Linked DNA regions of Alligator mississippiensis. The protein of the gene in region 1 interacts with the protein of each later gene in a biochemical or structural test. Links are inferred from orthologs where the notes say so. Each region holds a gene or a part of one and is shown in the gene's direction. Other genes may lie near its edges. The genes, in order: PATJ, TANC1 and CLDN1.

Evidence for each region.
Region 2: the proteins of PATJ (region 1) and TANC1 interact in a test that uses a peptide from one of them, tested with the Homo sapiens proteins (2 studies listed by IntAct, with this or other methods). The link is inferred for Alligator mississippiensis from reciprocal best matches to the Homo sapiens genes PATJ and TANC1.
Region 3: the proteins of PATJ (region 1) and CLDN1 form a complex in vitro, tested with the Homo sapiens proteins (2 studies listed by BioGRID and IntAct, with this or other methods). The link is inferred for Alligator mississippiensis from reciprocal best matches to the Homo sapiens genes PATJ and CLDN1.

The regions. Positions count from the first base shown.
Region 1 is NC_081828.1:14,933,273-14,943,234, forward strand, and holds the start of PATJ (inaD-like protein), read left to right. Parts: upstream 1-5,504; 5' UTR 5,505-5,577; intron 5,578-5,602; exon of another isoform or gene 5,603-5,746; intron 5,747-9,962. Other genes in the region: TM2D1 (TM2 domain-containing protein 1), read right to left, coding at 140-209, 367-498.
Region 2 is NC_081827.1:221,883,337-221,894,017, reverse strand, and holds the start of TANC1 (protein TANC1), read left to right. Parts: upstream 1-6,495; 5' UTR 6,496-6,719; intron 6,720-10,681. UniProt on the Homo sapiens protein: May be a scaffold component in the postsynaptic density.
Region 3 is NC_081830.1:87,403,699-87,413,565, reverse strand, and holds the start of CLDN1 (claudin-1), read left to right. Parts: upstream 1-5,021; 5' UTR 5,022-5,248; coding exon 5,249-5,471; intron 5,472-9,867.

The DNA.
Region 1 (9,962 bases):
GGGGAGGGAGAGAGCTCGGCCTGACGCGGGGACCCCGTCCGCCTGTGAAAGCCAGGCGCGCTCTCGGGGTCTCCGCGCCGGTGACACCAGGGCAGGTGCACGACTGCGCGGACGCCCTTGAACCGCTTGCCAGCCTTACCGTAAGCCGTGTGGTTCGTGCAGTTCGTGGGCTCCTGCGTGCCGCTGTCTATTTTGGGATCTTCGCAGATATATGTGCGAGGCATTAAGGAAAGCCGTTGGGTTTTTTTTGTTTGGCATCAGAGCCCACCACCCCGGCGGCGCCCCCCTTCCCATCCCCTGCCCCTGCCCCTGCCCCGAGGAAGGCCGGGGCTGATGCCCGCGGGACCAGGCCTGGCCCGGCCCAGGATATTGCCCCATCCTCAGCTCGTCGCACTTGGGCGGCGGCGGCTCGGCGGCCCGCGCCGTGACACAGGCCAGCCACAGCAGGCCGAGGAGCCGGCCCGCCGCCCCCCGCCACCGCCGCTGCCGGGCGGCCATGATGGAAACGCGCCGGTCAGCTGATGCGAAGCTTGGTCAGGAGCGAGGCTTTGCCCCTAGCCAAGATGGCCGCCACGCCACTATGGCCAATGGCGCTGAAGGCGAGCCGGGCGTTTTCTCAAGATGGCTGCCCCCCCTGCACCTAGAAGCCGAGCTGCCCTTAGTAAAGATGGGTGCCCTTCTACTACTGGCAGAGCGGCTGCCAGGTGTCGATGGGAATCCTGGTCCCGCCTGCTCGTCCCGCTGCATTGTGGGAGACGGGGAGGGAGGGGCTGGAGGGATGGAGTAGAGGCTGAGGAAGGAGCAGCGAGCTCTTTTCTTCTCCTCTTAGGATAAAGAGAGGGAAAATGTGGGAGTGTTTTGGGGGTTTTTAAGTATATTTCCTTCTGAAATGTGCTTATATGCGCATTACATGCAGAAGATTCACCTGCACTGGGAAAGTGGATCCCCTGAAGTGTGGAAAAGACAAGGCAGAAAGAAAGAATGACAAGAAAAAGAAAAACCTAATGCTAGTTATGGAGAAATGTAATTTTTTTTAAAGGACTTGAGTAGATCGGTACCAGTTTTGCAAATTCCTCTAAACCAGTGTTTGCCAACCTTTCCCAGCCGGAGGCAAGCTTGCATTAATAATAAAAATGTCCGTGGCACACCTGTTAAGGCATTCCCCATCCTCATACCTACTGTAGCTCATTGCCATGGCAAAAACCTGTGGCACACCTGCTCATTTCTGATGGCCCAGCGGTTGCAAAACACTGCTCTAAACCAAACCTGGTTATCTTGTGGGACGAGGGGTTCATCTGAATCAAAATCCTTATTTTAACCAGACACAGGCTGTACATTTTAATGCAAGGAGAGGTCAGGCATTACCCACGAGGTGTGACCTTGTGCCTGCAGCCAAGTGTCATTCACAAAGGTGTGACATTCTTTTCAGAACATCAAAGAAATCCTTAGTAGTCTAATTTCTGATCACCACAGATGACAGACGAATGCATTAACACCAGCCTGGTTTTTCCCATATGAGGAACTTTTAAAAATGTGAAGCACACAAACAAATGAGCGAGAGCCTGTCGACATGACAACACACTATTGGCAGAACAGTGTCAGGTGCGGGTGTAAAAGAATCACCCCTTTCACTGACATAGCCCTGCTAGTCCAGACACAGCTCTGCTAGCGGCTTTTGCTGTTCAGGGGAGGAGGTGCGACTTGCAGCAGTTAAGGAACTTCTACTAGCGCGGCGGTTCCCAAACTCGGCAGATTGTGCGCCACCAGTTTGAAACAATACAACCTTAAGTATCACCAGCAAATTTTTCAGATCAACCTTAAGTACCACCAGAAAACTTTTGTCATATAAAGTAGTGATATTAAATCTAATGTGTCCACTGACAGATTATCTACATACCACTGGTAGTACGTGTACCACAGACTGGGAACCACTAGTGTATGCTGTGTTTAAAACAGGGGACCTGTGTTGCCCACCCAAGATACAGCATCGGCAGCAACCCTGTCATAGAGACTAGGCCTCCAAGATGCTTTCTATAGTGTAATTATGTCCAGTCCAGGATGGCCAAAATGCTTTACAGGTTTAACACTTACTAAACTGATTTAAGCTTTTTTTAACTACTTGACTGCTAGTGATATTAAATTTCTGAAACTACATGTTCCAATTTCCAGCAGGATCAAATCCCAGAGGTTTAGCATTAGGTCATCCTGAGGATTCCTAGTAGCTGCCTGTGACTATATTTCCCTAGTCCTGAAGTTTTATTAAAGTTTATTTGTACTGGTTTGGTTTATTACAATTCTGTTTTCTTACTCATCTGTGCAAAAATACCCACAGTAGATAAGCCCTATATTAACTGTGACTTTGTGATCCTGAATAGAAGTAACTAGAACTGTGATTCTCAACCAAGGTACCATGACATCAGGAGTAGGTCAGGGGGGGAGCATCAAAATCTGGTGGAGCAACTCTTCAGGAATGCACCTCAAGGGCAGACGAGGACCAATGGGCATTATTAGCTAATAGAGGATAAATTAAGGCAGGACATAAGAAAAACCTTTTTCTTTGTAAGGGTCACCACAATCTGGAGCACACTTCCAGCAGAGGTGGTGCAGTCACCATCCTTGGAGGTGTTCAAGAGGAGACTGGACAAGTGCCTTGTTGAGCTCATCTGAGCCCAGTCACTTCCTGCCCACAGCAGGGGACCAGACTTGATGATCTTACAGGTCCCTTCCAGTCCTCCGATTCTATAATTCTATGGCACCCTGGGGTGCCTTGAGATCCTTTCAAGGACGCTGTGGGTTGCCACACAATGTTAGCATTGTTAGGTGTGCAAGTATAATTCACAAGATAAAACTAGAATTTTCACATAGGAATCAATAGTGTTCAAAATATTTTGACCTGTTGTCTTTCTGTTCTTGCAACACAAGAATTGTTCTGGTGTTTTTCTGCAGTTAAAAAAAGTGAAAATTAAGATCTGGCATTTTCCAAGGGATGTCTCAAGTCTATGAAGGGGTACCTCGACTCCAAAAAGGTTGGGAACCACTGTGCTAGAAAAGTGTAGTATATGTGACCAACTAGTAGCACTGTATGACCTCCCTTGTCCTCGTTCAGGTTTATTTAAATTACATCGAGCAAAACTCCAGCTGTTTAAGAAAGTAAATCAGGAATTCTGCTTTACTCAGAGGCTCTGAAAGCTGTTTGGGTGCATAGCCATTTTTCTTTATCCTTTAAGATGTACGTACCAACTAAAATCCCACATCACCCATATCTGACAAGCTAATAATAAAGACATGGGCCTGTGAGAAATGGATGGCTGAAGGGATTGGCACTATGATGTGAAATATTATTCATCCCTGTCATTCTACCCAGCTTGGTAATGTCCCCCCAAATACTGCTATCTAATGGCTGTTTGGAAATTCTTGTGAAATAAACTGGAGGTCTACTGCCTAATGGAGAAAGTGTACAAGTAAAATTGACAATCCTGTTGGCAGTTGTAAAGGAAAAGCCAAAGGGAGAATACACCTCATAATGAACCTCATATTCCACGGGTAAGACCGAGGCGGATTAGAAAGAAAAGTAACAAACTCGGTTGTGCTTCTGCCCACACTGCATCTTGGCTGGATAAACAACAGACCTCAGTATTCACCTCTGTTTAGCCGACTGGCAGTTTTCATAAGCACTACATTAATTCCCAAGCTCAGGCATGGGAGTGGGAAATTAGGCACTTGGAACCTGAACCAAGTATCATAAATTGGAAGAGGAGGATATGACATATTTTTTATGAGCATTCAGTACACTTTCCAAAGGTTGAACAAATAAAACAGAAATGTGAGAAAAACAGTTGGAAAAAAAAGCGTTGATTCATATTTCTGATGCAGGCTGCTGTTCTAAAGTCCTCTCTCTCTGCTTGAGAGGATCACATGAGATGCACTACACAATGAACTGGGAAAGCAGAAGCAGCTGACATAAAACAGGCAGTTTGCTTTCAGGGTATTGACTTGGTATCTGCAACTTAAGAATACAACAAAACAGGCTAACATCTACTTTTCAGAAGTATGGGGAACTGCAGCTCTTGCTGACTTCAACTGGAGTTGGACATGCTCGGTCCTTCTGAAAACTGGTCACTAAAAAGAAAATACAGAAACATCAAGACTTTTTGGGTATATAATTTTTCTTCTCAGCTGCCCAGAGAAAGATTATGAAAGCAGAAACTCCCCCACTTCAATAGGGATCGTCTTGATAATTTCTGAACCATAAATAACATATATAGCAGATTTGGGAATCTTGCATTTGGAACAGAATGGAAGTTACCATTGACACTCAGTGCATAGTATTTTGTATGCCACGGATATGAATACCTGGATACAAGTGTTTGTCGGCTATAGATTGAATTAGATTTCAGCATTTCTCAGTTTAAACAGAGTATCAATACTGTCAATACTCCAACAGAAGCCCAGTGTGTTTGTGGGGGCACTGCTCATCAACGTGTTTAACAGTCCCCTCCCTGTAGCTGTAGTGTCAGGGCTTGCACATTTAAGCCAGGAGAAGACCAGATTTATCCATGCGGAGTTTGTCAAGTTCCAAGCAGCTGTGTGCAGCTCAGTCGCCAACTCTCATGATTTTTTGGTGTTGTTCTTAAAGTTTATGCCAGGGGTTCCCAATGTTTATGTGCACAAGGGCACATTTGAATTTAAAAGAAAAAGCAGGGGCCCCAACATGAACATTAAAGTTTAGAATTTAGAATCCAGGATATGTGCATGCGCATGGCTCCGTTCGGGGAGGGTGTGCTAAGAGCCACGCCGTCACAGTGTCACTCAGACTGACGCAGTCTCATTTTAGTGGCTGTTGCATACAGCCTGTGAAAATTTTTTTGAAGTGTTGCTGTTCTGAGTTCAGTCGGCAGTGACAGCATTTTGTGTCGGAATAATGCTTTTTACTAATCATGAAAATGTGCATGGGCACCTGAATAAACCTCGCGGGGTGCCATGGTGCCCGTGGGCACCCCATTGGGATCCGCTGGTCTACGCTTTGGGAATATGAAAAAAATAGCTCTTTCTTTGATATCTATATGTGTGTGTATGTGTACATATATATGTGTGTGCATGCATGTATACATACATGTGTATACATATGTGTGCATACATATACATACATATACATATATATATGACCCATATGGAAGCCATATAGGACCCATATATAGCTTATGATCCTTGCCGGCCACTGGTTTGTTACAGCCTGAAGATCTGTGATCACCAATTTCCGACACTTCCTTAAAAAAACCCAACAAATCATGTCGTTTTATTGCCGGTTAAAGAGTAAACCGGGCGTCCGGAGTCTCGGGGCTGCCGTCAAGTTGCGGCTCCGAAGTTGTGCGCGACGCAGAGGCTGGGCACGGGCACGGGCACGGGCCCGGGGAAGGGAAGGGAGGGAGGGAGGACAGGACGAGCGGAGCCGAGCCGCGCAGCTCAGTCGCCCCTCCATCCCGCGCGCTCACAGCTGCGGCTTCGAGCCGAGCCCGCGGGCTCCGAGCGCAGCCCCGTCCCGTCTCGTCCCGCGCCCGTGCGGCTACGGCGCTGCAGGTGGGGCGCGGCCCGGCGGCTGCTGCGGCTGCACTTCCGCCCAGGTGCGGCGAGCGGGGCAGCGCCGGGGCCGGGCTGGGCCGGGCCGGGCAGCCACTTCCTGCGGGCTGGGTTTCACCGAAACCACCTCCCAGGCGCCCAGCTCCGGGGCTCGGATCGGCGCCGCCAGGTACCGGGCCCGCAGGGGCAGGGCGGGCTGCAGCGCCTCGGGACGCGGCCACGGGGAGGGGCTGCTTGTTGCAGGCGGAGAAAGTTAGTTTGCGGCTGGGAAGAGCGAGGCAGAAACACCCCCCGCCCGCGCTGCCCTCGCCCTTCCCTGCCCCGGCCCTCCGCTGCTCCCGGGGGGCCTACCGCCCGCACCTGCAGCCACGTCCCTGGGCCGCCCCGGTGCTGCTGTCCCGGGAGCAAGGGGACGGGCTGAGCCTGCAGGGAAGAGGGGAGCGAGAAGGGGCTTGTGTGTGTGTGTGTGTGTGTGTGTGTGTGCAGGGGCTTTGTTTGGTTTGTGTGTTGTCTTCTGTTGTGGCGTGCCAGGCTGGGGACGCTTCAGTCTGGAGAAGAAAAGACCCAGATAATCATGTCAAGGGCCTACCTCAGCCCCCGCGCAGGGGAGGACAAGAAATATAGGCAGTCCTCTTGACTTAAGACAGGACCGGTTCTTGAAAAACACCTCTCAAGTCGAAACGTTGTAACTCAGAACTGATTTTCCCATCGGAAACAATGTTATAAATAGAGGATTGGTTTCTGAGCCCTATACCCTATTTTCACCAAAAATAACCCAGACTTTTGTACTCAATTATAGAGGAGTAATATAACGATATTAATGTTTTGTAAATAGCAATCATATTGATTTGGAAGGACTTCTTTGAGGTGACTTGGCTGGACTTTTTGAAGGGCTCTTGGCTGGCGTCTTCGCAGGAGTCTTGGCTGCAGGTTTTTGGAGTCTTGTCTGCTTTCTTCAAGGAAGTGTCCAAGGAAGTTTGGACAGACGCTCTCCAGGGAGATGGGCAACGCAGCAAACATGTTCGCTGGCGTGGTGGCGCATTGGATCAAGTGTTGAAAAAGTCAACACTGACGTCAAAGTCGAAGCAGGGTGTCAATTTATAAAAGTCGAAAGTGCCGTTCTTTGCAACTCAAAACGTCGAGGACTGCCTGTGATGGGCATAAGCTGATTGAGGATTGCTTCGGGCTTCACATAGGAAAAACTTTTTTACAAGTTAAGTGCTGAGGGTTTGCAACAGGCTTCCCCCAGAGTTGGTACAGTCACCCACCCTGGCAATCTTTGAAAAGTGTCTTGACACCCATCTTGCTGGGGTCATTTGATCCCAGTCTTTCCTGCCCAAGTGCAGGGGGACTGGAACCAATGATCTGTAAGGTCCCTTCCAGAAACTGTCGCTCATTGGTGACACATAGTGCACACAGGTGCACCTGAGGTCAGTCATGCAGCCCCTGGAAGCACCAGCCACGAAACTGGAAGTGCACCCCGTCAGCAATTGGCCTCCCCCCCCCACTCAGGAGGCACCAGTCACCCATGATATCGCTGACCTTATCTCCCCACCTGGGGTTTATCTCAGCTTGCTACATCAAGGAAAAATGCCTGTCTAGTAGGTTTTTATACTGACGTAATCTCAGTTTAACACCCACCCGCCACCTCCCAAACAAAACCAAACCCAGGCCATGTACCCTTTTTGCAGTGAAAACCTAGCCACAGACTTGGGATAGGAACTATTTTTGTGTTATAGAGTATTAAGTATCCCATCCTGTTGCTCCTAAATAATGACCCCAATTAACATCTTCTTTTTAAGACCACAGCCTTAAGTTCCTGAGTCACTGTGGGCTGTCATGGGCCGTGTAAAATAATTCACAATCCTCTCCAACTTCCAGGGGAGGTGCAAGAAGGGACAAGGGTATCTTGTGTTTATATAGATATAGCAACTTTCTTCTGAAATATTGCAAAGCAGGTCAGAAGATTGCATGTGATGGCCTGATCTACACTAGTTTTATAGCTGGTTAGATATGTTGCATGTGAGAAGGTCCCACATCCCCTTCTTTTGTATGGCTGATGTAGACCTATACTTTTACATTTAGGTGGTTGAGTCAGACAGTTGCGTCAGGAACATCAGGGTGTATTGCTGCAATACCTTTTTCATATTTATGCATCTGGCATTGAGTCATTATGTGTTCCATGGTCTGTTCTGGGTGACCACGTTGCACACCGAAGAGTTTTTAAGTTTCCATTTGTGCATCGTCTCCCATGGTTTGTGCAGATACAGATTAGAGTTGCCCATGAGTGTCACGGGAGATCAAAGCCAGGGACCTTCTGCATTGGATCTGTCACAAGATGTTTATTTGAGACCTCCTGTGAATCCCATTCGATTTTCCAAGCTTCGTCAGGTTCAAGTTATGCCCCCTTAGCCTGTACAGGTATCCTGACAGGAGATGAATGTCCACCAGTTTAGCTAATGTCATTTGGGGGCAGTGGTGTAGTTAATTTGGCAGACCCCCCCTCCCCCCACACATGCACACACTTTTGCTGCATATGTCACATCTCCAGGAAGAGGCTCTTTGAACACAGCTATAGCATTGTCATAGCAACAGGGGCTCTGTAATTTAGGAATTAAAAAAAAAAGTGGTGATGCTTCCACACTGCCCAAAGCCCTAGCGTAGCTGCAGATAAACCAGCATAAAAGAACATTTGTCAAGCTAGCTTATTTTGATCTCCCACCTGGTATGAATTAGATCTGCAAAAGTAGTTTTGTCAATTAAATTATGAAGATTTAGGGATTACCAGAAATACCGGTAAACCTGTACTACTGTAGACCTAGCATCTCTGTCTAGGTGGTGTCTAACAGGTCCCCCCAGCTGGAACTAGAGAGTGTCGTACTTCACTATTCTGTAAGCTAAGTGCCTTCCATGCCTTGGGGATTTCCTGCCATCTTCCCGTGCTTGCTGGTGTTTAGTGCAATATTGACTGGTTACATAGTGCTGTCTTGCCTTGTTTCCAGCTGCTAAATTTAATTAAAAGATGCCAAAAAATAATCAACTCCCTTGCTAATATCCCATTAAGCAGTTGTTGTTGTCTAAAAGATGATGACTGATTGCACGTGGGAGAGGCAGTATCTATGAGGTAAAAGGTGGAAAGATTTGAGAAGCCCCGAACTGACCGCTTTTTGGCTTAAAGAGCAGATACTCCTATAGTATGTGGAATACAAGACCTTTGCATGCCTGCAGATAACAGTTGTAGCCAGGTTTTTTGGGTCATGTGCAGAGGGCCCCTATATGCTATTACATAACCTTCCTTCCATTTGATTAAGTGCCCCCCTCCCCTCCTTGCTACAGCACTGCCTGTGGACCTTAGTTTCTTTTTCCTCCATGCCCAGCTTCACACGGACTTTGTGCTGGTTGTTATATATGCCGTGCCCTAAGTGTGTGACTGAATCGATTGCCTTGGTCCAGGAAGCATATAGATCTTCAGTGCAGCACATGCAGTTTCTTTTGACCAGCCCCTGGCCCATTAGATTCCTTTTGCTTTCTAGTTCTTGTCACTGCCCTACAATGATGCAAAAACCACTTATCTTATAATCGTTTAGGTCCAGGTGCAAACTAAGGGGGAGCTTGGGGGTTGACCCCCCCCATAAGATGAATGCCCCCCCAGTAAGATTTGAAAATCATAACCTGGGGGAGGGGGTCTCCGATTAGGTTGCGCCTTTACTTAGGTGGACTCGTTAATCAATGCACTGGTTTCATTTTTTTTTTTTTTTTTGCAGACCCCGCCACAAGAGTCGGTGTAATTTGAACCCTGTATAGGTCAACATTTTTTAAAGAGATGTAGGAATAGGAAGGGTTGTCTTATCCCTGGCTTCTGTGTAAGGGTGTGTGGTACACATATGCAGACCATTACAGACTGCAGCATTCCCTAGAGTAATATGCAGCAGTTAACACTAAACCTGCTGTCTGGTGCTTGCTGAAAGGGATATTTTTGTCAAAGGTACTGGTGCAGATCACTATGCTCAGGAAGTGTCTGTGCAGAATAGCCCAGGCCTTTTTAATGATCTCATCTAAAAGTTGTGCAGAGGGTAAACAGTATTTCTTTTTGTTGACTCAGTCTTTCATGCTGCCAACCTAATACCTGGAACACTAAAAATGAGCTTAGTAGCAATGTCAGTCTTGATGCCAAATATCTTACTCTTGGGATTTTTAACTAAATTATTCTTGTTAATACTGCAAGCTACAGGTGCGATGGGTTATGCAGCCTAGGATTAAGGCCGCCTGACGCTTCCCTTTATAAGATGCAGTTTTCAGGTGCAGAGTGCTGCAGCGTGTTGCTGGTGCCCCCTCTAAATCAGTGCTTGGGGTTGGTGGCCTGCTTGTCATGGCCTAGTTACACT
Region 2 (10,681 bases), on another chromosome or scaffold:
AGTCATTAATGATACAATCTATATTGCTATACTTCCTCCCCCTCTCACCCCCCAAATGGAAAGCACTTCCTGAATGCATTGCTATTCCTCATTTCTTTTTATCATCTTCATTCACTGTCTATTCCTACATACCATTTACTAGCATACAAACCCTGCACTGAATGCAGAATTATAAATACCCGCTATATCCGCTATTAATATAGTGCTCTAATAGAATCTTAATTCTTTGCAAATAAGTGGACATTCATAGATTCATTGACTTCAAGGCCAGAGGGGACAATGATGCAACATGGGTATCTCCACTCTGGTGTTTAATATGGCAGTTAAATATCACCCACTAATTCCTGTATTGAATTCCTGCTTTGCATTGGTTTTTAACTTAAGCACATTTTCCAGCAATTCATCCAATCTTAAATGCACAGCATCAAGAAATGGAGGATCCATCACTTCCATTGGTAGTTCGTTCCAGTGTTTAATAATCTTTTATTCCTATTTTTGCCTGTCTTGTGTTTCCATGCCCTGTTAAGTCTTTCTCTACTAAGATTAAAGAGTTCTTCAGTACCCAGTATTTTTGTCTATTAAGGTACTTGTACCCTGTAATCAAGTTACTTCTCTCTTGCCCTCTCTCTCTTTTTGAGAAGCTAAACAGATGGAATGTTTTAGGTCTCTCACTGTAGGCCTTTTTCTTGAGTCCTTGAATAATTTGTTGTGGCTCTATGTTTTACCCTGTCCAGTTTTTCAACATTCCTTTTCATGCGTGGACACCATAACTGGATGCAATCCTCCAGAATTAATTTAACCAATCACATATACAGAGAATAAATCATATTCCAGCTTTTATACTTTTGTTCATGGATCCAAAGATCACAGTAGCTCTTTTTGCCACAGCACTGCTCAAGCTGAGTTGCTTATTCACTATGACCCCAGAGTCCTTTTCAGAGCTGCTGTGGTCCAGAATATTGTCTTCTCTATTATTGGTTTGGATTTTTTTGTTCCTAGATGTATATCTAGACAATTGTCTTTTCCGTAGCATAATTTGCCGTTCTACCAATCTATGTCAACTATGAATTTTATGCACAGAGTTTATGCCAGTATTATTTCTAAATGGTTACTTAGAATCTCAATGCATAGGGAAGCAAGGCGCACAGATTAAAGCCAAAATTGTAAAAAATTAAAAAAAAAAAACCAAAACCTGGGCTGCCTAATTTGTAAAGCAGACAGACTGATTCTTTTTTAAGTATGTAGTATTTACGACATTATGTATTTAGAACAGAGCTCCCATCTAGACTACCTCAGTTAAATTTTTAAGTGTTCAGCATTCCTGAGACCAGATGTTTCAAGCTGGGCACCCTAAAAGGAGGATCACACAGTTAATGGGCCACCTGTGAAAAATTTGTGGCTTGCCCCATGCAACAAAAGGATTCTGTGGCAGAGTCTAGGGAATTCAGTTCTTAAGCAAGATGTTCCAACTGCTAAATCAAGAGATACCCTTTTAATTTTTTTCAGTATCCTGTTTTGTTTACTAATCACTTTCAAATTTTCTGAAGCAAGGTTTATATGTACAACTTCCTTAACTACATAACCCTGATTAATAGGCCTATCTGAATAGGGAATTATTTGATTTGGATTCAACCCATTCGGAGGACAGTGATTTGATTTGGAGGTTCAGATCACTGTCCTGAATCAATTCGGCCAAATCGGCTTTGGAAGATTTAGCGCCAGTTCGGAGAGATTTGGAGATTCAGTCATAGACTATAATGAGGAAGCACTGAAATACCTATAACTTTGTCATTTTTTGGCTGATTAGGATAAAAATTTCAGGGATGATAGCTCCTTTTGAGGGCATGAAGTCTGCCAAGGTTCAAGGAGATAGGTACAGAGGTTTTGGGGAAACTACACCTCAAACTGCTGAAAGCTAAACTCATGTCATGTATTTGTGTTAAGGTGCAGCGGGGTGAAAACCGCACGCTTGCTAGCCCCTGCTGAGGCCATGGAGCTTGCCAGGTTTCAAGGAGATAGGTGCAGGGGTTTCTGGGAAACTGCACCTTAAGCTGCTGACAAGCAAAACTCATGACATGGGTGACTGTGCACGTGTTAAGACACACCCTCACTGGGGCTGGGGCCTCTACACAATACAGTAGTGCCCCAATGAGGCCTCCTCCTCCCCTACAGCCTCAGTCTGGTACACCAGTTTAAATAACAACAGGTAATAAGCAGTGTACTGCAGCACAGTAGCACTAGCATCTCAGGCAGCTAAACTGTGACAGACTTTCTTTCCTTTTCTTCAGGAGGTTCTTCTCCTGCAGCTGCCAGAGAACTCTCCCTGCCAGCCCCATCCCTGGGGCTTAGATGTGCCCAGGCCCCTGCATCCTCCCGGTCAGGTGCTAAGGGTGTTGGTCTAAGGACATGGCACTGGCAGACAAGGTCCTTTGGGTCAATCTGGTATCTTTTAGTAGACCAACTGAATAGTTAGAGAAATATATCTTAGCAAGCTTTTGGGTTGAAAAACCCATTGTCAGGCTGAGGAAGCACCTGCAGTTTCTGTGTGTGTGTGCTGTTCCTGGATGGAAGGAATAGTAAAGAAGCCAGAGGCTGGCAGGCCAGAAGGCCAGTCAGTGAAAGTGGACATGGAGGTGTCAGGGGGTGAGAGAGACAGGCTGGGGTAGGGGGATGTAGGTAAAAATGGAGAGGTAAAAATGGGGAGGTACCTGGGGAGTCAGATGTCTGGCATGTTGTAATGTGTCATAAATCCAATGTTTATATTGAGTCCATGAGTTACTGTACTAGGAGGCTGATGAAGTGAAGTTCATAGGCCTGGCTGTGAAAAGTGGTTTGTAAATTCCCTTTCAGGATTAATAACACTTCATATTAATCTTTCCTGTGCTGGAAAATGTGTCTGTCTGTGTAACTAACTAATAATACAGTATATTTCATCTTCTTCTTTTCTGATGTATGACTGTGTCTGACTTCTTCTGTGTTGTGTTTACTGTTGTGTGTGTAACTAAAATAATTTCTTTTCTTCTTCTATGACTCTCTCACTTCTGTGCTGTGTTAATCTGAATCTCTATCTGACTTCTGTGTTGTCTTTAGTCTGTATGTAACTATAATATGTAACTATAACTAATAATAACTATATATAATCTCTCCTTTTATGACTGTCTGACTTCTTCTGTGTTGTAGTAATATCTGACTACTTTTTCTATGATGTATGTGTGTGACTGTGTGTAATGTATGTGCTTCCCTGCACAGTGATGGATCACACTGCTAGGGAAAACACAGCTTTCTTTTTAAAAAGTGTTGGGGAAAAATAAACTAAGAACAAATATAAATTGAAAGAAATGGATTGAATAGGGATAAGTAGAGGGATTCTAGTTAGTAAGCTATATCCAATCCTTTCCAAGAACAGAATGTAGCAGGAGATTGACTAGGTAGGAAGCCAAGCCAATCCAGTACCTTTCAGACACTGTTGCTCAGGCAGAAACAGCCCACAAAAGGCATAGGAAGCCTGCAGACAGAGGATTAATACTATTTTTATGTCCCTCCCCCAGAGTACTGTGATTGGAAGGGGCTTCAGGGAAAGATTACAGTAGGTCTAGATGCTCTTCACCCAAGGGTGCTGAGGGCATTGGCGGGGGTCATAGCGGGGCCTCTGGCACAGCTCTATGAGCACTCGTGGGGCACTGGCCAGGTGCCAGAGGATTGGAAGAGGGCCAATGTGGGCTCCATTTACAAGAAGGGGAGAAAGGAGGGCCCCAGCAATTATAGGCCAGTCAGTCTTGCCTCAGTCCTTGGGAAGACCTGTGAGAAAATTATCAAGGAGCACATCTGCAAGGGCCCAGCTCAGAGCTGTAATGCTCTGTAATGCTCAGAGGCAACCAACATGGGTTCATTGAGGGCAGGTCCTGCCTGACTAACCTGGTTTCTTTTTATGATCAGGTCACAAAGTCCCTGGATGAGGGTGTCAGGGTGGATGTCATCTTTCTGGACTTTAAGAAGGCCTTTGACACAGTTTCCCACCACATTCTCTTAAAATAAACTGGGTGACTGCGGCATTGATGCCTACACAGTCAGATGAGTGGGAAATTGGCTAGATGGTCGCACCCAGAGAGTGGTGGTGGATGAGCCGTTTTCGACCTGGAGGGAAGTGGGCAGTGGAGTCCCTCAGGGCTCGGTCCTGCAGCCTGTACTGTTCAACATCTTTATCAGCAATCTGGATGTGGAATGCACACTGTCCAAATTCACTGACAACACTAAGTTGTGGGGCAAGGTGGGCATGCTGGAGGGGAGGGACAGAATCCAATTAGATCTAGACAAATTACAGAGGTGGGCAGATGAGAATAGGATGGAATTCAACACGGACAAGTGCAAGGTGCTGCACCTAGGTAGAAGGAACCAGCAACACACCTATAGGCTGGGGAACACTTCTTGTCAACACAGTGGCAGAAGGGGATCCTGGAGTCATTATTGACTCCAGGATGGACATGAGCCACCAATGCGAGGAAGCGGTTAGTAAGGCTAACCGCACCTTGTTAGCATCTACATATGCATCACAAGCAGGTCCAGGGAGGTGATCCTTCCCCTCTATGCGGCACTGGTCAGGCCACAGTTGGATTACTATGTCCGGTTCTGGGCGCCACACTTCAAGAGGGATGTGGCTAACCTTGAGAGGGTCCAAAGGAGGGCCACTCACATGATCAAGGGGCAGCGGGGCAGGCCCTACAAAGAGAGGCTAAAGCGCCTGAACCTATTCAGCCTGCACAAGAGAAGGCTGAGAGGGGATTTGGTGACTGTTTACAAACTCATCAGAGGGGACCAGTGGGAATTGGGGGAGGCTCTGTTCCCTTGGGCACCACCCGGGGTTACTAGGAATAACAGCCACAGATTGTTAAAGAGAAGGTTCAGGCTGGGCATCAGGAGACATCATTTTACGGTTAGGGCTGCCAGGCTCTGGAACGGGCTCCCAAGTGAGGTGGTACTCTCTCCTACCTTGGGGGTCTTCCAAGAGGAGGCTGGACAGATATTTGGCTGGGGTGATATGACCCCAGCACACGTTCCTGCCCGGGGCAGGGGGTTGGACCTGATGATCTGTTTAGGTCCCTTCCGACCCTAAACACTATGATACTATGATACAGTCACTGGCCAGTTACAGATGTCAGTCTTTCCCCCGCAACTCCCCCTCCCTAATCTCCTAATCTTTTCCGATTCTATTCGGAGCCTCCAAATTGGTTCAGAGATCTTTTTCTTCTCCCAATTCGATTCAGATTTGGTGATTCAGCCTCTGAATTGGCTGAATCTTCTCTGAATTGAATCATGGACTGAAGCTTTGTGCACCCCTACTGATTAACATGAACACTGCATGCCACTGGGGCTGGGGGGGGACAGTGATCTCCCACAGGCGGTGGCAGCGCTGGCGGCGGCAGGAGCATGGCAACGGAAAGTGGTGAGCTCTTGCAGGTGGCCGCGGGGTGGGAGGGTGAATGCTGACTGGTGGTTGGCGACCACCCGCAGACACTGTTGGCAGCATCAGCATCAGCAGCAGCGATCAGAGACCGCCTGCAGATGCTGCCAGCAGTGTTGGCAGCAACAGGGGCGGGGTGGTGGCAAATGGGGACCACCCTCAGGCACAGCTGGCAACGTGAGCAGCACCTTTTTGCTAGGGGTGCACCTGCGTGCACCTCCTATGCGTTGCCAATGCTGATTAACTCCCCAAAGATTGTCCATCCCGGGTACTATACAGAAAACATTAGGCTACGTGTGTTGCTATGATGCCACATCTAAGGAGTCGGTGATAGGTCAAACTCATATCCTTTTGACTTCAATCTTGCACCTTCCCACTCATATTCAAACAAGCCAAACAACAGATAGCAGCTAACAGGATAAAAAATATCTATAGAAAAGTTATGGGAGGCGATACAAATACAGTAGCGTTTCAAATCGAACAAAGAGCAGAGAAGGCCTCTCTGGAGGGAGGTGGAGGGCATCTGAGGTGGACTTTAAGGCTTGTTTATTAATACTGGTATTTCAGGCAACGCTAATGGCTTGCCTGGTGTTTAACAGAGACATTTTAAAAAGTCTTTCTCCTTCGGATTCGTTTTGTGAACTCTTGTCACCTAAGCCATCTCCCTGCCTGGAGGCGCTTCAAAACAGGGAGCCCACAACCACGTACGTACGAGGTCATGTGAACAATCCCCACGTCAGCGGCTATAAAAAAAGAGCCCAGAGGAGCTTCCAAAAGCTCGCAGTGGGGGAAGGAAAATAAAAGTTAGGAGCAGACAACTGGCAGGCGGGCTTCACCACGCAAGGCGGAGAGCAGCGGGGCCATGTGACGAGCGGCAGGAAAGACACAAATGAGGATGCGGCGGTGCCCCCGCGCCGGGCGGTCCCAGCCGCTCCCCGGGGCCTCCCCGTGACAGGCTCGTCGCTGCCGGGGCCGGGCGCGGCGCGGGGGAGGGGCAGGGGCAGGGGCAGAGACCCGGCGCTTTCCGCCGCTAATCGCTCGCAGATGGGGCGCCGCGCTGCAGGCGGGAGGAGCTCGGCGCGGGGGGAGCTGCGGGCGTGACCCGGCCCGGCGCTGCCTCCCCGCGCGGGCGGGCCGTGGGCAGGGGGTGGCCGCAGGCGGGGGGCGGGGATTGCCGCCGCCGCCCGCTTCCAGTGAGCTCATCCCGCCGCCGCGCCCGGCTGGCTGCGGACGAGCCTGTCCGGGACACGCCGGCGCGGAGGTGAGTGCCCGGCCCGGCCCGGCCCGGCGCCGCGTGCGGGGAAAGTGCGGCCGAAAGTTTGCGGCTGCGGGACGTGCCCGGGCGCGTCTGCACCGCGGCGGGGCGGGCTGGGCTGTGCCTGGCACAGGTGGGGGCAGGGCGGGCGGAGGTCGCGGCCCCGGGGAGGCGCGAGGGGCTGCGGGTGTTGCTTGTCACCACGTTCAGCGGCAGGCTCGGCGAGCGGCGCGGGGACCCGGCGGGGAGGTCCCTCCACGCGGGGCCGGCCGGTCCCGCGCCTTCCTCTCACCTGCGGGCGGGCCAGCCCCACGCGGGGTGTGGGGCGCCCGAGGGCTGGATCCTGTCCGGCTTGGATGACTTCTCCTGCTTCCCCTGTCATGCACCTGCCAAAGCGGTGGCACTTTTGTCACCTGCTGCACCAGCCCAGAGTGGCGGTTGGCAAAGCCGAGGTACCGCCGCTTTGCTTGGGGAAAACTGAGCAGTCTCTTTGCAGCAGACTTGCTGGAGCAACAGGGTTTGCCATGGCGCTGGGCGGTAGCGGCTACCTGTGCCTTGCTGCTCCAGGCCGAGTCCTGCCAGGAGGTGACCCAGCCTGTGGCGGATCCTTTGCCAAGACGCCTTTGTTAGCCCGCAGCCTCGGTGGCTGTTGGCCTTAAGCGTGTCGAGCTGGTTACAACATTACAAAGCCTTGGGAAGAAGCAAGGGAATCTGGTATCTCACATCCGACAGAACTTCCTCCCTGTCTTAATTTCTGCAATGTGGTTGCCAAAACTGAATGGATTGAGAAACTTCCTAATTGTTGTGATTTGACAAGACACGATGGCAAAATAGTGTCGGAGGATTAAATTATGCTGTGAAAGCAAGCGAATATACCTGAATGAGATTTCTGTCTGTAATGTAAACATGCAGCTATGGCAATATATATGGAGGTTAATTTTGCTGGATGCTGTGAAGTGCCAGTGGTTCTGCTTTCTTGGGTTAGCGAGCCACTGGAATGTCCAAATGATGATAAATTATGCTCACTCTAGAGCCAAAACATATTTGGTTCATAGCCAAACTTGCTCAGCTTCCCATAACAGCCTGTAGGAAAGAGACATTTTTTTGTTTCTAACCACAGTTTTGTCATTGATGCCATAGCAACTTTGTGATCTGAGGGTATAATTTTAAAGACAACTGGGCAGTGTTGAGTGAACTGGGCTATATTTCTCTAATGAAGCTTCATACTGTCATCAGAATTAATGCTGTCTTCAACCTCTTTAGACTCAAGGTATCCCTCAAGAAAATGCCAGCTCTTAGCTTACACTCATTTCTTGACTACAAAAAAATAATAAAACAAAGAACTCAGACCACAACAGGTCAGAATATTTTGGACACTATGAATTCCTATTTGAAAACTCTGGGTTTATCTTGTGAACCATGTGTAGGTGTTTGCACACCTAACCTTAATATTGCACAGCTCCCTGCAGGCCTCTGGTTGAGAATCCCTGCTCTAAAACCATTGTGTTCTGCTGTGACAGATTTTTTTGGGCAACTTTGAGCTCCCTTATCTGAGGCCCCTTCTATACATGCAGGTAAAAAATATGCAATCCACATAAGGATGCCTCCTGCCATGCTACATGTGGTTTCATGCACCCATGAGCCTAGGAGAAGCTGCAATCCCCCAGCCCAAGAGGATTTTGCATACCCCTGGATCAGCCACATCCTCCAGCTGCAAGGACCTGGCTGGGTCCATGTACCTGGCATCCACAGCTAGGGGATCCTGGGTCCCTGTGCCGCTGGGACCCAGAATGGGCAGCTTTTGAGGCTGAGAGTCTACCGAGTTGTGAGACCCACAGGCCTGGCTGAGCATGGTGCACTCCTGCTGCTGGGAGCTGGCAACTAACTACATGTGCCATTAAAGCTAGATAGCAACCACTTATAAGAGTTAGTACATACTGAGGTCTAACTTCATAGTTTTTTGGAGCTTTTTATGGCTACTTTGCAGCTGTGGGACATGCCCGGGCATGTCTGCACCAGGGCGGGGTGGGGCAGGCTGTGCCTGGCACAGGTAGGGGCTACTTTGCTCTTATAGCTGGTTAATTATGTGTTTCTAAGGCCCTCTCTAATGTGTAGAGGTGGCCTTAGAATCATAGAAAAGTAGGGCTGGAAGGGACCTCAAGAGGTCATCTAGTCCAACCTTCTATTTGTCTTAAGATGGCAAAGTCATTTATTATACTTAAATGTCTACCAATGCAGTATTATATTTTAAGTAGTGTGTCTATGATTCGCTATGAAACCATTTAATTTTTTTGTTGTTGTTGGTTTCAGAAAGGGAATTTTAAAATCATTTGAGTATAGTACAATTCTTAACTTTCTGATCTTGCCCATATCTTTTCCTAAAGGAGGCATGTCGGTAGAGGGATGATTTCCCTAATATCCCATGGAATCTACTAGGTCAGCTAATAACTGGATAATTAAGATTAGCCTTTTTATTTGTATATTTACTATCACTCTGCTGGTTAAAAACCCTTTTACCATCATAAACCAGGGAGATCTTATGAGTCAAGAGACTTCAGCCCCTTTTACTTGATTCTGTAGATTTTATACTTCTGTAGTGCATTCTGTTCAAAGGATCTCAAAATAGTTTATGCTCATCAACATTAGCCCTTACAGTATCTTTTTTTTTATATTCCTATTTTACCCTATGCACCACAGTTTCATCCTATGTAAGTGATTTCTTCAGGGTTAAATGGAAAGTCTGTGGGAGAAGCTGAAATAGAACCCAAATCTCCTGCCATCTATTTCTGCACTTCAGTAAAATACCACTTTTTTCCTTTGATCTCTTTTATCTCTTATTTTTAGTAGGACATAACTTGCTTTAGTAGGTTTCATAACTTGCTACTTTATTTTCTTTCTCATGGCTTCATAAAAGACTGTTCCTACAGGCTAAATAGAGACAGTCAAAAAGCCTGAGGATTAATCAATTCAGTTTTCACAGGTTAGTCTAAACTGCATAGATTGAACTGATAAGCAAGTGATCAGACATTCATTTTTTGATTCTGGAAATGGAGCCAGATGCCTACAGCAGTCTAGGTCTGAAGCTGGTGGGACAGGGGGCTAGAGCATGCCTCCCTACTCAGCTGGAGCAGATAGCTTGGGCCAAGGCTAGGCTACCCACCCTGCAAGGTGGGGTTTGCAGGAGAGGTGCAAAGCATTCTGCGAAGCTGGGGGCTGAGAGTTGACTTGAATCTGGAGGGGATCTGGGACAGAAGATCATTAAAACAATTTAACCTAAATCAGTTAAGTCTGATACTACATCCATCCAGGTTTATCTTGAACAGGTTTGGGCCATTTTGAATGTGGTTTAAGTTCACTGCACTTCTGTTGTGTTAGATTTGAACCGGTTTCCGATAACATATACCAGTTTGTATATAATTTCTGTCCCCAGCCACAAAGTTTGCCTTGTAGTTTATTTAGTCTTCTCTACTGAATAGGTAATGAATAAAGTTTTATATGATTTTTATCTTGGGTTTTAAAAGTTCTTACTAATTGGATTGACATTGTTGCCACTCACATCTTAAACAGTAACTCTGTAATCTGAATGCATTTATGCATATATTATTGAATTGTGTGAGATGATGGCATAATGTTAACTTCCTTTTTTCCCTCACTTACCCTGAAAAGAAAATCTGCAGTAGGCCTGATGTGGCTTACCGGATCGATCCTGTATACTACTTAACAGAAGGTTAGATTTTGTTAAATCTTAATAAAAGAAATCCTTAATGCTTTTGGGAGTTCTGGAAGTATATCACAAATGAGTTGACACTAGCATTGGGAAATCAGGAAGTTTGGCATTTTGATCTTTAGGAGTAGATATAGAAGATATCCAGTTTCTGATTGATAAAGCACTCTAACTAATTTTGAATTTATTTTATGTTCTATTCCTTGTCAATGTTTAGGAATAGTCTACACCTTGTTCCCAACAA
Region 3 (9,867 bases), on another chromosome or scaffold:
TGCTCACAACCTGCAAAAGCACGGAGCGGGGGCACAAAGGTGGCAGTAGCAGGCTCTCCTGTCTGATAGATGCAGGTCCAACCCGCTTCAACAGCTTGATAAATCTAGATGAGAGAAAAGGTGCCATTTTGGTTAACAGAGAAGGTCATTTGCCATTGGAAAAGCTTCTGCAGAGCTACGGGGGCTTCTCCGTCCCTGGCAACTGTTAAATCAAAATTAGGAGGTTATTTTTTTTTCTCTAGAGGCTGTTTGCATGGCTCCAGAGATGCCCTGTGTTTTGTAAGAGGTCAAGCTTCAATGGCCACAAACCTCCTCTGGGTCTTATCGTCAAAGTATGCCTGAATTCTGCAAGCAAACGACGTCTCTTGAGGAATGAGCCGGGAGGCGAAGAATCCGGCCGGTTGCCCTCGCGCAAGCCCCGGCAGGAGAAATATCTGGTGTTTATCGGGAAAGTAAACAGGTAGAGATGAGCTGCCCGCAGCGAGCAGCGCTCTGCGGACGATGAAGGTGTTATCTAAATATAGTTGCTCATCTGGCCACAACTGTGCGCAGAGGAATTATAGGATCATCGCGTTACACAACTGCTCCAAACAGCCTTAACTGAGATTGTGACACACGGTGCGGGGGGGAAACTAGCAGGCTTTCGCATACTTTCTCTGAGTAATGTGTTTATGAAAATGCAGGGGCTGGGCCTACAAAAACACGAATTCCAGTCCGCGGCCGCGTTCCTCTTCCCTGTGCAAGGGGAGGAGGGAGAGGCTCCTCCAAGGGGTTGCTCATGAAAGACTATCAACACCTTGCTGGAGAAGACCTAAGGAGCAAAAGCATCCCAGATAAAACCAGCTGCGTTCAACCTCGCTGCAAAGAGCTGGTTTGATGGGACGGGATTTAAGCCAGAAGCTGAACAAACATACTCAGTGTTGGTGCAGGCAATTAAAAATGGAAAGGAGGATGCTAGACATAAGACTGTGGGGCAGGGAAGAGGAGTGAAAGGCCAAGCTTTGAGAGGGAGAGGGGTCTTTGACTATGGGGCCAAATGAAGTGGGCTGGAGAGAGAAAAAAGAGGACAGCGTCTGCGCCAAGTCCGGAGGGGAGAGCTCCAAGGCTAGGGACAGAAGTTGCACATAAACCACTTTAAGTCCTCAGAAACTGGTTTAAACCTGTAGCAGAACAGAAATTCAGCATATAAACCAGTTTCAAAATGGCTGAAACTGGTTTAAGATAAACCTGGTGGAATGGAGTCTCACATTGAACTGATTTGGGTCAAACTCCTCTCCCAGACCCCAGAGACAAGGCTTAGCGTCCTTGCCGGGCCAATGTCTGGGTCCTGAAGAGCACCAAAGCTGAGGCAGATGACCTACTGCTTTGCCTGAGTATTGCTTGTGCTGTCCAAAGTAAAGAGTGATTGGTGTGGGAGCCCTTTGAACCTGCATGGCCTTGGCTTCAACTATCGACGTACCCAGGGAGGTGACGTGGTCCCTGCACGAACCCGTCAGGAACCTGGGCTCTCTGGACAGCTGTAGGGCTGAGTTTCCCTTTCTGGGGAGCAGCCTTGGCTCCCAGCAGCACTCCAGGGCTTGTCCCTGTGGGTCTTGGACACACGTGTCTGCACTGCCTTGTCCTGTGCATGCAAAGCTGGTCACCACTCAGCAGTACTGACCCAGCCATTGCAGAGGAAAGGAGGGGAAAGATTTCAATAGCAATAAACTCAGATGTCAAACTGCAGGCTCCGTTGAGCCAGCAGCCCAGGCTGGAAGCTGGAGGGGAACACATCCATTGCACTGCGCTCCGCGTCTCAGACCACCCCAACCACGCATGCTCCCTGCCCTGTAAAGGATGCTCCCTCCGGGGGTGAGCTGGGCAGGGCGTGTGCGGTAGACAGCCTGGACCTCTATTCCTAGAGGCTGCCAGGGACGTCCAAGATCTTCCCACGCAAAACCTCTCAGCTTCCCCCACTGCATCCCAAAGCCTGAGCGACTCTGGGCTCGTGGCCGACCCGTTGCAGCCCTTGGGGCTTGCCTGGAGCCAGCTGGTGCAGCGGGGCTGTGGGCAGCAAGGTGCAGCCTGCTGTCTCCAGGGGGTCCAGGGCATGCAGCAACCCTCCCAAACCCCTCTGTGATCCGGCAGCCTTTGAGATCAAGACTTGGCCCCTTTAATTCCTGCCTTGGAGCAGACTAGGAAGGATGCTGCCCATCACACCAAGTAGCAGCAACCTCAGCCCGGCCCAGCGAGGGCACTGACCGCTGCATCGGCACAACCATGCATCTACCTGGGACCCTGTTCCCTGCTGCCCCATGCATCCCAAAGCAGGCCCTAGTATGGGGTGCAACCCCTTTCCCTGCTCCCTTGAAAGAGAAACACCTTCCCGCCAGGCCGTGCTGGGAGCTGTCTTGCTTTCACAGGGCCGATCCCAGCTGCACTGCCGTTCTGGGCTCCCTGCTGCAGGTGCTGGCAGCGCCCACCCCCCCGTGCCCGCTGCGGTTTCCCCGCAGTTGTTTTCCCACTGCAAATCCCCCCGGAGCCGTGCAAAGTTGGCTGCGTAATCACCGGTTGGCTCGTTGCAGCCGTCTCCCAGGTGAGAACCTGCAAGTCATCAAAACGCAGCCACCCGGCTGTCAAAACAACCCCGCCGCGCTCCCGTGCCAAACACGGCCTTCGCCAGCGCACGCTTGTTTATGCCGAGGTGAGGGGTGGTGGGAGAGAGCATCTGAGCTGCTCCGGGCTTGAGCTGATGACAGGTGAAGGCAACACCATCCAATTCATTTCATGCATTCCCTCTTGTCTTCAGGGGATCCCCTCCTCACCTGCAGCTTGATCAGCTTGGATATGAAAGCTCAGCCCATCGCTACCTGCAAATCAGACTATACCCAAACTAGCTCTCAGCCCTATGAGAGATCGCTCAGGCCAGCATCCTAAGGAGCCAAGAGAGCCTGGGTCTCTGCTACTCACCCACTCGGGGACCCTTTTGCAAGTCACTTAACCTCTCCCCATGCCCTGATGCTCAGTCAAAGCCACTTCTCCCCGGGGGCATCAGAGACCCAGTGGTGGAAGATGCTACTTTCCAAAATCCTGACAATTTAAAGACACCCATTCTTGGAAGCAGGTTTATTGAAATCGGTGAGTCTCAACCCGGTTTCTGCAGCCTTCTGCAGGGCTGTGAGATCCTTTTAGGATTTGCAAGAGAAATTTCCACCCACAGTGTTTAAACCGCTCTGCCTGGCCGGGTTCCTTGCAACCGATGCATTGCTCTAGTATTTTCCCAGGGTCAACCCGAGTGAAAGCTCAGAGCTGGCATTTTTCAAGGTGGGGCTTCGAGCCGAACGTGGGGGTCGGGAGGGTTGAGAACAACTGATTTTAGGCTGAAATGTGGCAGGTGCCAGCTTGCCTCTCTGGAAGGCTTTGTTTGCTGACATCTCTGAAATGATTTCCAGGTGTCTTGCACACAGTCCTGGCCTCTCGGGTTGTGCAGGGGCCTGTTCCTCCCTTCCCTCCAGCCGTGGCGTGGGGAAGGGTCCCCCTGATGCCCCCAGTCTGGGGGAGCCGTGCTGGGCACAGACAGGGGATGCATAATATTATCAGGCCACTGAATCCCTCCAGATCCGCTCTCTGCCCATTTCCATCAACCAGCCACAACAAGCAGGTTTCTCCTTTAGGAAAAAAAAAAGATTTGGGATTCACTCGAACAAAATCCCCCCAAGACAAGGCAGTTTGAGCCTTAGGAGCAGCAAGCCAGGGGAAGAACAGCCCAGCTCCCAGACCCCAGCCGTGCTAGCAGGGAAAGCAGGGAGCCTCCCTCTCCACGAAGGCAGAAGGGGTATTTTAGGAACAGCTGCTTTTCCTTCCAAAAAGCAGCAGCTGATACAAAGCAAGGACACGAAACCTAGAGCTGGGCACAAGGGTCAGTTGGCCGGTGGATAAATGCAGCTTGGGGTCAGTCAGACACCATTACTGGCAACTCCAGCCTGAATTTGGTGCCTGATTTCGGATGAGTGTTTTGCCCGAGTGCTTTGCTTCAGCCTTTCTGAGCCGGGCTACTATGGAAGTGATGGTTTAGGAACAAATACACCCACGTTTGGCTCCTTTTAAAACACGTAGAAAAAAGAAAGACCCCACAGGAAGCCTGCCTGGGGTTTGCTCCAGGCAGGAAAAAAGCAAATGCTGGGTGCTTTGGGCGAGTGATTTCTTCCCTGCAATTTGGGCATGAAACAGGCCCCCCCCACCCACGTGCGCCTGAGTTACCACCCCAGCTCCCCTGCCTTTCTGCAGCCTTGAGCAAACACCGGTTGTTCCCGTCCTGCCTCTCCTAGGCCAGTTCCCAAAGCACTTTGCAGTCCCGTAGCATTAACCGTCCCGCCGGGAGCCAGGGCAAGCACCCACTCCTTGTTTCCCAGCTGCAGGAGCCGAGGCGCGGGGAAACGGAGTCACCTACGGCCGCCTCGGGAGGTCGAGCCGGGAGCCGAGTGCAGGAGACGCTGCCTGCCACCTTGGCCCTCTGAGATGGGGCAGGGCGAGGGGCCTTCAGGGACCTTGGTGCGCAGCACAAAGCAGAATCCATGCATTTCCAGGGGCCGAGATGCCTGGCCCACGGCGGCGCAGGAGCACTCGCCGGCCTGCATTTATCAAGCATGCAAGACCCTCGGAGAGAAAGCACCTGGCATCGCTGGGATGCAACTCGGTAGCTTTGAACATTAGTCACCCTCCCAGTCACGGCTCTTGCTGCAGCCTGTACAGCACAAGTCCCCGGCAAACCGGTTGCAGTGTGACACATGGGTATCACCAACACCACACACACGCTAGCTTGTGAGCTCTGTCTTCCAACTGGAGCTGATTGCACGGGATGCTGGAAAGAAACCCCCTGGCTCCCCACGCCCTGCCAGAAGCCATGCACATCTGGACGCAGGTTGGCGGGGCAGGAGGGGAAAGCTGTGCTGGGTCTGAGCTGTCACGGCCCCTTCCCGGGAGCCGAGAGCTCGGGTGAAACCGCCAGGGGGAGCCCCGAGGACTCGGCTTTAAATTGCAACCCAGAGATGCTCTGACTTCATTCAGGTGGTTTCTAGCCCGAGGAGCCAGCACCGACGCCTGCCTTGCTCCTGGAGGATAAGAGAGGCAGGGAAGAGTCTTTGCACTCACATCTCCGCCTGAGTGCTGCCAAGGGGGAGGAAGAAGGCAAATCCTACCAGCTGCCCAGGTCCTGGGAGCGTGGACTGGTACCTAGGGACTGTGGCATCCTCTTCACAGCCCTTTTGAGATGGCCAGCGGAGGTCTGCAGCTGCTGGGCTTCATCCTGGCCTTTGTAGGCTGGATCGGCATCATCGTCAGCACGGCTATGCCCCAGTGGAAGATGTCCTCCTACGCCGGGGACAACCTTGTGACAGCCCAAGCCATCTACGAGGGGCTGTGGATGTCTTGTGTCACCCAGAGCACAGGCCAGATGCAGTGCAAGATATACGACTCCCTGCTGAAACTGGAGAGTAAGTGCGTGGAGCGGGTTTGGGGGCTCTCCCTGCTGTCCCCGCCCTGAAGTTTAATACTTTCATAGTTGTTAGGGGCTGGACGGGACCTTACAGATCGAGTCCGGCACCCTGATGTTGTTAGCAGATCCCAGAAGGACAGCTCTAGGGTGCTGCTGTTCTGGTTCAGCTGGTGGGTCCGTGAGATCGTGCCCTGCCCATACTTGTGTCTCTCTGGATCTGACTCTTCCCGGCACCCCATGCACCCCTGCTTGCAAGCCTTGTTTGCTGGACTTCCAGGGTCCCATCCGGCTCCGGCTGCAGCCGGCAGGAAAGCTCTGGTTGTGGGCCAGCCTGAGCCAGTGCATCTCATGGTAACCATTCCCAAGGGAGGCATTTGGCCATATTTAATGCCACCAAAGCCTTTGAACGGGGCTTGACAAGTAGGGATGCAGAAGCCAGGCCGAGGTGTATGTCTGTTTTCTCACTGATCGCACAAGCGCTTGCTACGGGCACCTTCCTCCCATCAAGGAGTCTGCTGGGGGTGTAGCGGGGTGAGACAAGGGAATCGATCACTGGGGTTTCTTCTTTTCTGGAGAGATTTTGATATATGCTTTTTATATAGTATTACTTTTATATATGTTTTATTATATATTTTTATATATACTTTTGCTTCGGCTGCCTGCCTGAGTCCTTGCTGTAATATCTGCCCCTGCCCCCAAGAGATAGGGCACCTCCCAGAAGGACAAAAGGATTGTTTTCCCCTTAACAAATGTGCTAGGCTGTCAAGGGGGCAGGCTGGGCAGTCTTCACTTATTGCAAAGCAATAGGTGGGGTTTGCAACCGCCTTAGGTGGGGTTTGCTTCCCCAAGGAGGGTGCTTGGGAAGAGCCCCATGCTGTGCCATCTCCAGTGCTGGTTTCTGGTGAATTGTGGGGCCTGGAGGAGCTGGGCTTGTGGCTGGGCCTTGGGCAGAGAGTCGGGGGTTCAACCAGGCACTGGTGTAGCATGAACGGGGAGGACCGGGGCAGGCAGCTCCAGCCAGCGATGGGCTTGGGCGAGGGAGGTAGGAATGTGAAATGCTGGAGAAATCAAAGCCAGGTTTTCTCCAGGTCATAGCCAGCTCCACCTGGCCAGGCTCTTCTTGATAGCAACCAGGGGACAGGAACTGTCCCAAAATCCTGGTGGGTGGCACAGCCTCATCAGCGGAGACAACCCCGTGGGAGCCAGGTCCATCGGGGGTATCTCCAAAGCACTAATGCTGCTGGGTTTGCTCCGCCGATCACATCCCTCCAGTCCTGGCCAGTTGCATCCACCTAGCACCAGTTGCAAAAGCTGCCGGAGTAAAGGGTGCGTGTGCCCGCGCCGGCAGCGAGGGCGGGCATGTTCCAGCCGAGAGCCTTGCTTCATCCGCGAGGATGCAATCCCTCATGTCTGCAACCTTGTCCTCAGTCGTCCCTCCTCCGGGGCCTGAGCGGTAGGGCCTGATTCTGCAGGTGGGAGCCAGCTTGAATTTCTCTTTCCTAGCTTCAGGCTTTTGGCTCTGGGAAAATTCCCGCTGTCGTTTCGCTCGGGCGGGCACTCGGGGGCCGTGGCCAGAAAAGCTGCACCTGCATGCAGCTGGCTGTGGCTTGGACCAGCAGAGAAGGGCTCTTGCTCTCATAGCTTCTTCCCAGCTCCCGGCAAGAAGCCGGCTCTGCTTCCCCAGCCATGCATCCAAATGCAAGCCTCTGTCATCCCGGAGGCATCCATCCACGCTGCCCCCGCCCCGCTCGAGTCCAGCCCTGGTGACATACATTTCTGCATGTCTGAGGATAAGCCAGGCCTTTGCCTGGAAAGGCTGGAGAAATGCAGCAGCCTCACCCACCACCCACTTAGGAGCCAGTCGGTCCCTTTAATTATTTGCCGGGGAGTGGATCTGTTTATACACTTCGCCGACAAGGGTGGTGCCTACCCACGCTGGCCGGTTGGAGTGAAACGTCCTCGGCTCCTTATGGAGGAGGAGGGATCTGTGCAGTCCTCTGGGCACGCACATGGACCACCAGAAACCACTGGAGATGCAGCCCGGCTGCATCAGAGCAGAGCCAAAACTCAGCCCAGGTGTCCTCCCATGCTTGTTGGCTCGGTTAGATGCTGCTCTCGCTGGCACTGATAGCAAAGCAGTGGCTACCGGCTGCTGGTACCATGCTCAGGGCTAGTCTTGGGTCTCACATGGCACTGCAGATCAGTCCTTTCCAAACCCAGCCTGTTACCCTGGGGTCTTCTCCCCACCTCATCTGACCCTGCCGGCGTTCACGGAGCAGTGTGATTGAACATGCACAAGTAGGGGGGTGGAAGAGGTGCCTGATGCGCTCGCATGGCAAAACCCTAGTGAAGATCAGGGCTGCTGGGTGCACGGGCATTCAAGTCCGATAATCCCCCGCCGTCTTCCAGTGAGAGGGGATCATAGCGTCCTTGACCTGCACATGATACGGTGCCTAAAGTGCGCTGGGGCTTTCCCTTGTGCTCGGGGTGGACCCCGGGTCCCCTGCGGGACATTGTGGTCAGCACGTCACTCCCTCCTGAGGTCAGTGTCTGTCCTGGACCTGCGTTATGAATGACCGTATAGCAGTCATTCATAACCCTGGTGCGCTGGCATGTCAGGTTCCTCTGCTCCCGAAGAGCTGGCTGTGATCCCCCTGGGATGACAGGAAGGGAGCATGGCAAGCATCCCCAGGGCCTTTTCCCGGGTGTTGCCCTGGCAGGGAGAAACTTGCAAAGCCAGAGAGCGTCTGCCGCACCCTGAGCCCAGCCACCCGCCTCAGCTGCAATGCTTGCAGCTTCCCTGAATTTCTCATGATCGCCAGGCACCTGAGTTGGGGTGAGACCCAGTGCCATGTGCAGCCCCTCGCCAGGGCTTTTGGGGCATCACTAGCAGCATGTGGGGGTCACCGCTGTGCAGCACCAGGCTCTCCCAGGAGCGGGGGGCCTGGGGAAAAACCCATCCCTCTCCAGGCAGCATTCACACCTAGCAGCCCTGCTGTCTCTGCTGTCTCCCGGGCGAGGCTGGCTTGGCTGACGGCTCTGGGCACCGTGGGAGCTATGCCAGGGCTCCATCGCTACCCCGTGGGAGCGTGCCCACGCTGGCGGCAAGCCGGGGCCTGTCATTCAGGGCGCGGTTGAATTCAGCCAAACAACAAGGCTGCATTTCACCTGTCGACCCGCAACCCGGGGATGGGTGCAAGCAAACCTGTGACCCCTAAAAGCAGCCTCTGGGGACCAACCTGCCCTGTGAGGTGCCAGGAGAAGCCTGGCAGAGGAGAGCAGGGCATGGCTGCTGCTCTCCGGCGTGCAAGCTGTGTGTGCGAGGTGGGCGTGCATTCAGCCCTGTGCCTGCGTGGGCACCGAGGGGGTCGGTTTATGTTTGCACGATGTTTGGATGGTGTAAAAAGGTAGCCAGGGTATCACCTGGGAGAGAGCCCTAGTCTTTTCACCATGCTGCCTTGAAAAATAGCATGCACTTAATTTGCAAGTCCACGGGTGCAGAATAGCATTGGGTTTGGGGGAAATGTTTGGTATTAGAAAGGGGGCTGCTATGGGACAGTATGTCTGCCGTGGAAAGCATTTATCTAGGTCTCAGATCAAGCATGAGCCGTGCGGTTCATGGGTGTTGGGACCCTTTAATGGTGATTGAAAGCTGCTGGGCTTTCCAGCCTCGGCATTGCAGGAATTAACCCAACCGCAGCTGGGTCTGTCTGCTCCTGGGGAAGTCTCCACAGGCAGGGCGTTGCTGACCGCTCGGTGTCCAGCCCAGGACAGGAATGCGGGTGGGGATGGCCGGCTGGCTCCAGGACCAGCTGGGGGTCCGGCAGCCTTCCCCTCTCCGTCGCTGGCCCGCTCATGGCCTGGCTCCGTGCAGCCAAACCCTGCGGCTCTGCAAGGAAGGGAGCTCAGGGCTGCCAGCCCGGGTGCAATGCAACGAGAGCCTGGAGAGCGCGGTTTCGGGAGGGAGCGTAGGTAGCCTCCCCCCAGGAAAACTTGGAGTGGAGCAAATGGAGCCATTTAGGCTGCATTTCCCACCGTGCATGTGCAGTTGGTGGCCCGTGGGTAGTTCCCACTTGCTGAAGGGAAGAGGATGTCAGCATCATGGACCGGGGCTCTGTCACTTGGACGCAGGTGGGCCTTGTACAGCCGTGTGGGAGGGGGAATCGCCCAGAGACAGGTGTGCAGCTCATCAGCAGCCCTTCAGCGACTGCATCTGCTGGTGGGGAAGGGTTGCCAGCAGCACGGCCCGAGGGCAGGGACATGGACAGCCTAGAGGAGACACCTGCCTTCCCTCTGCAAAGGAGGTGTCATCCTTTGCTGGAGGGAGGTGGGGGGCAGCAGGAGGCCTGCAAAATATCCTTCACCTGGCACAGACAACGAGGGTTGAAGGGAGC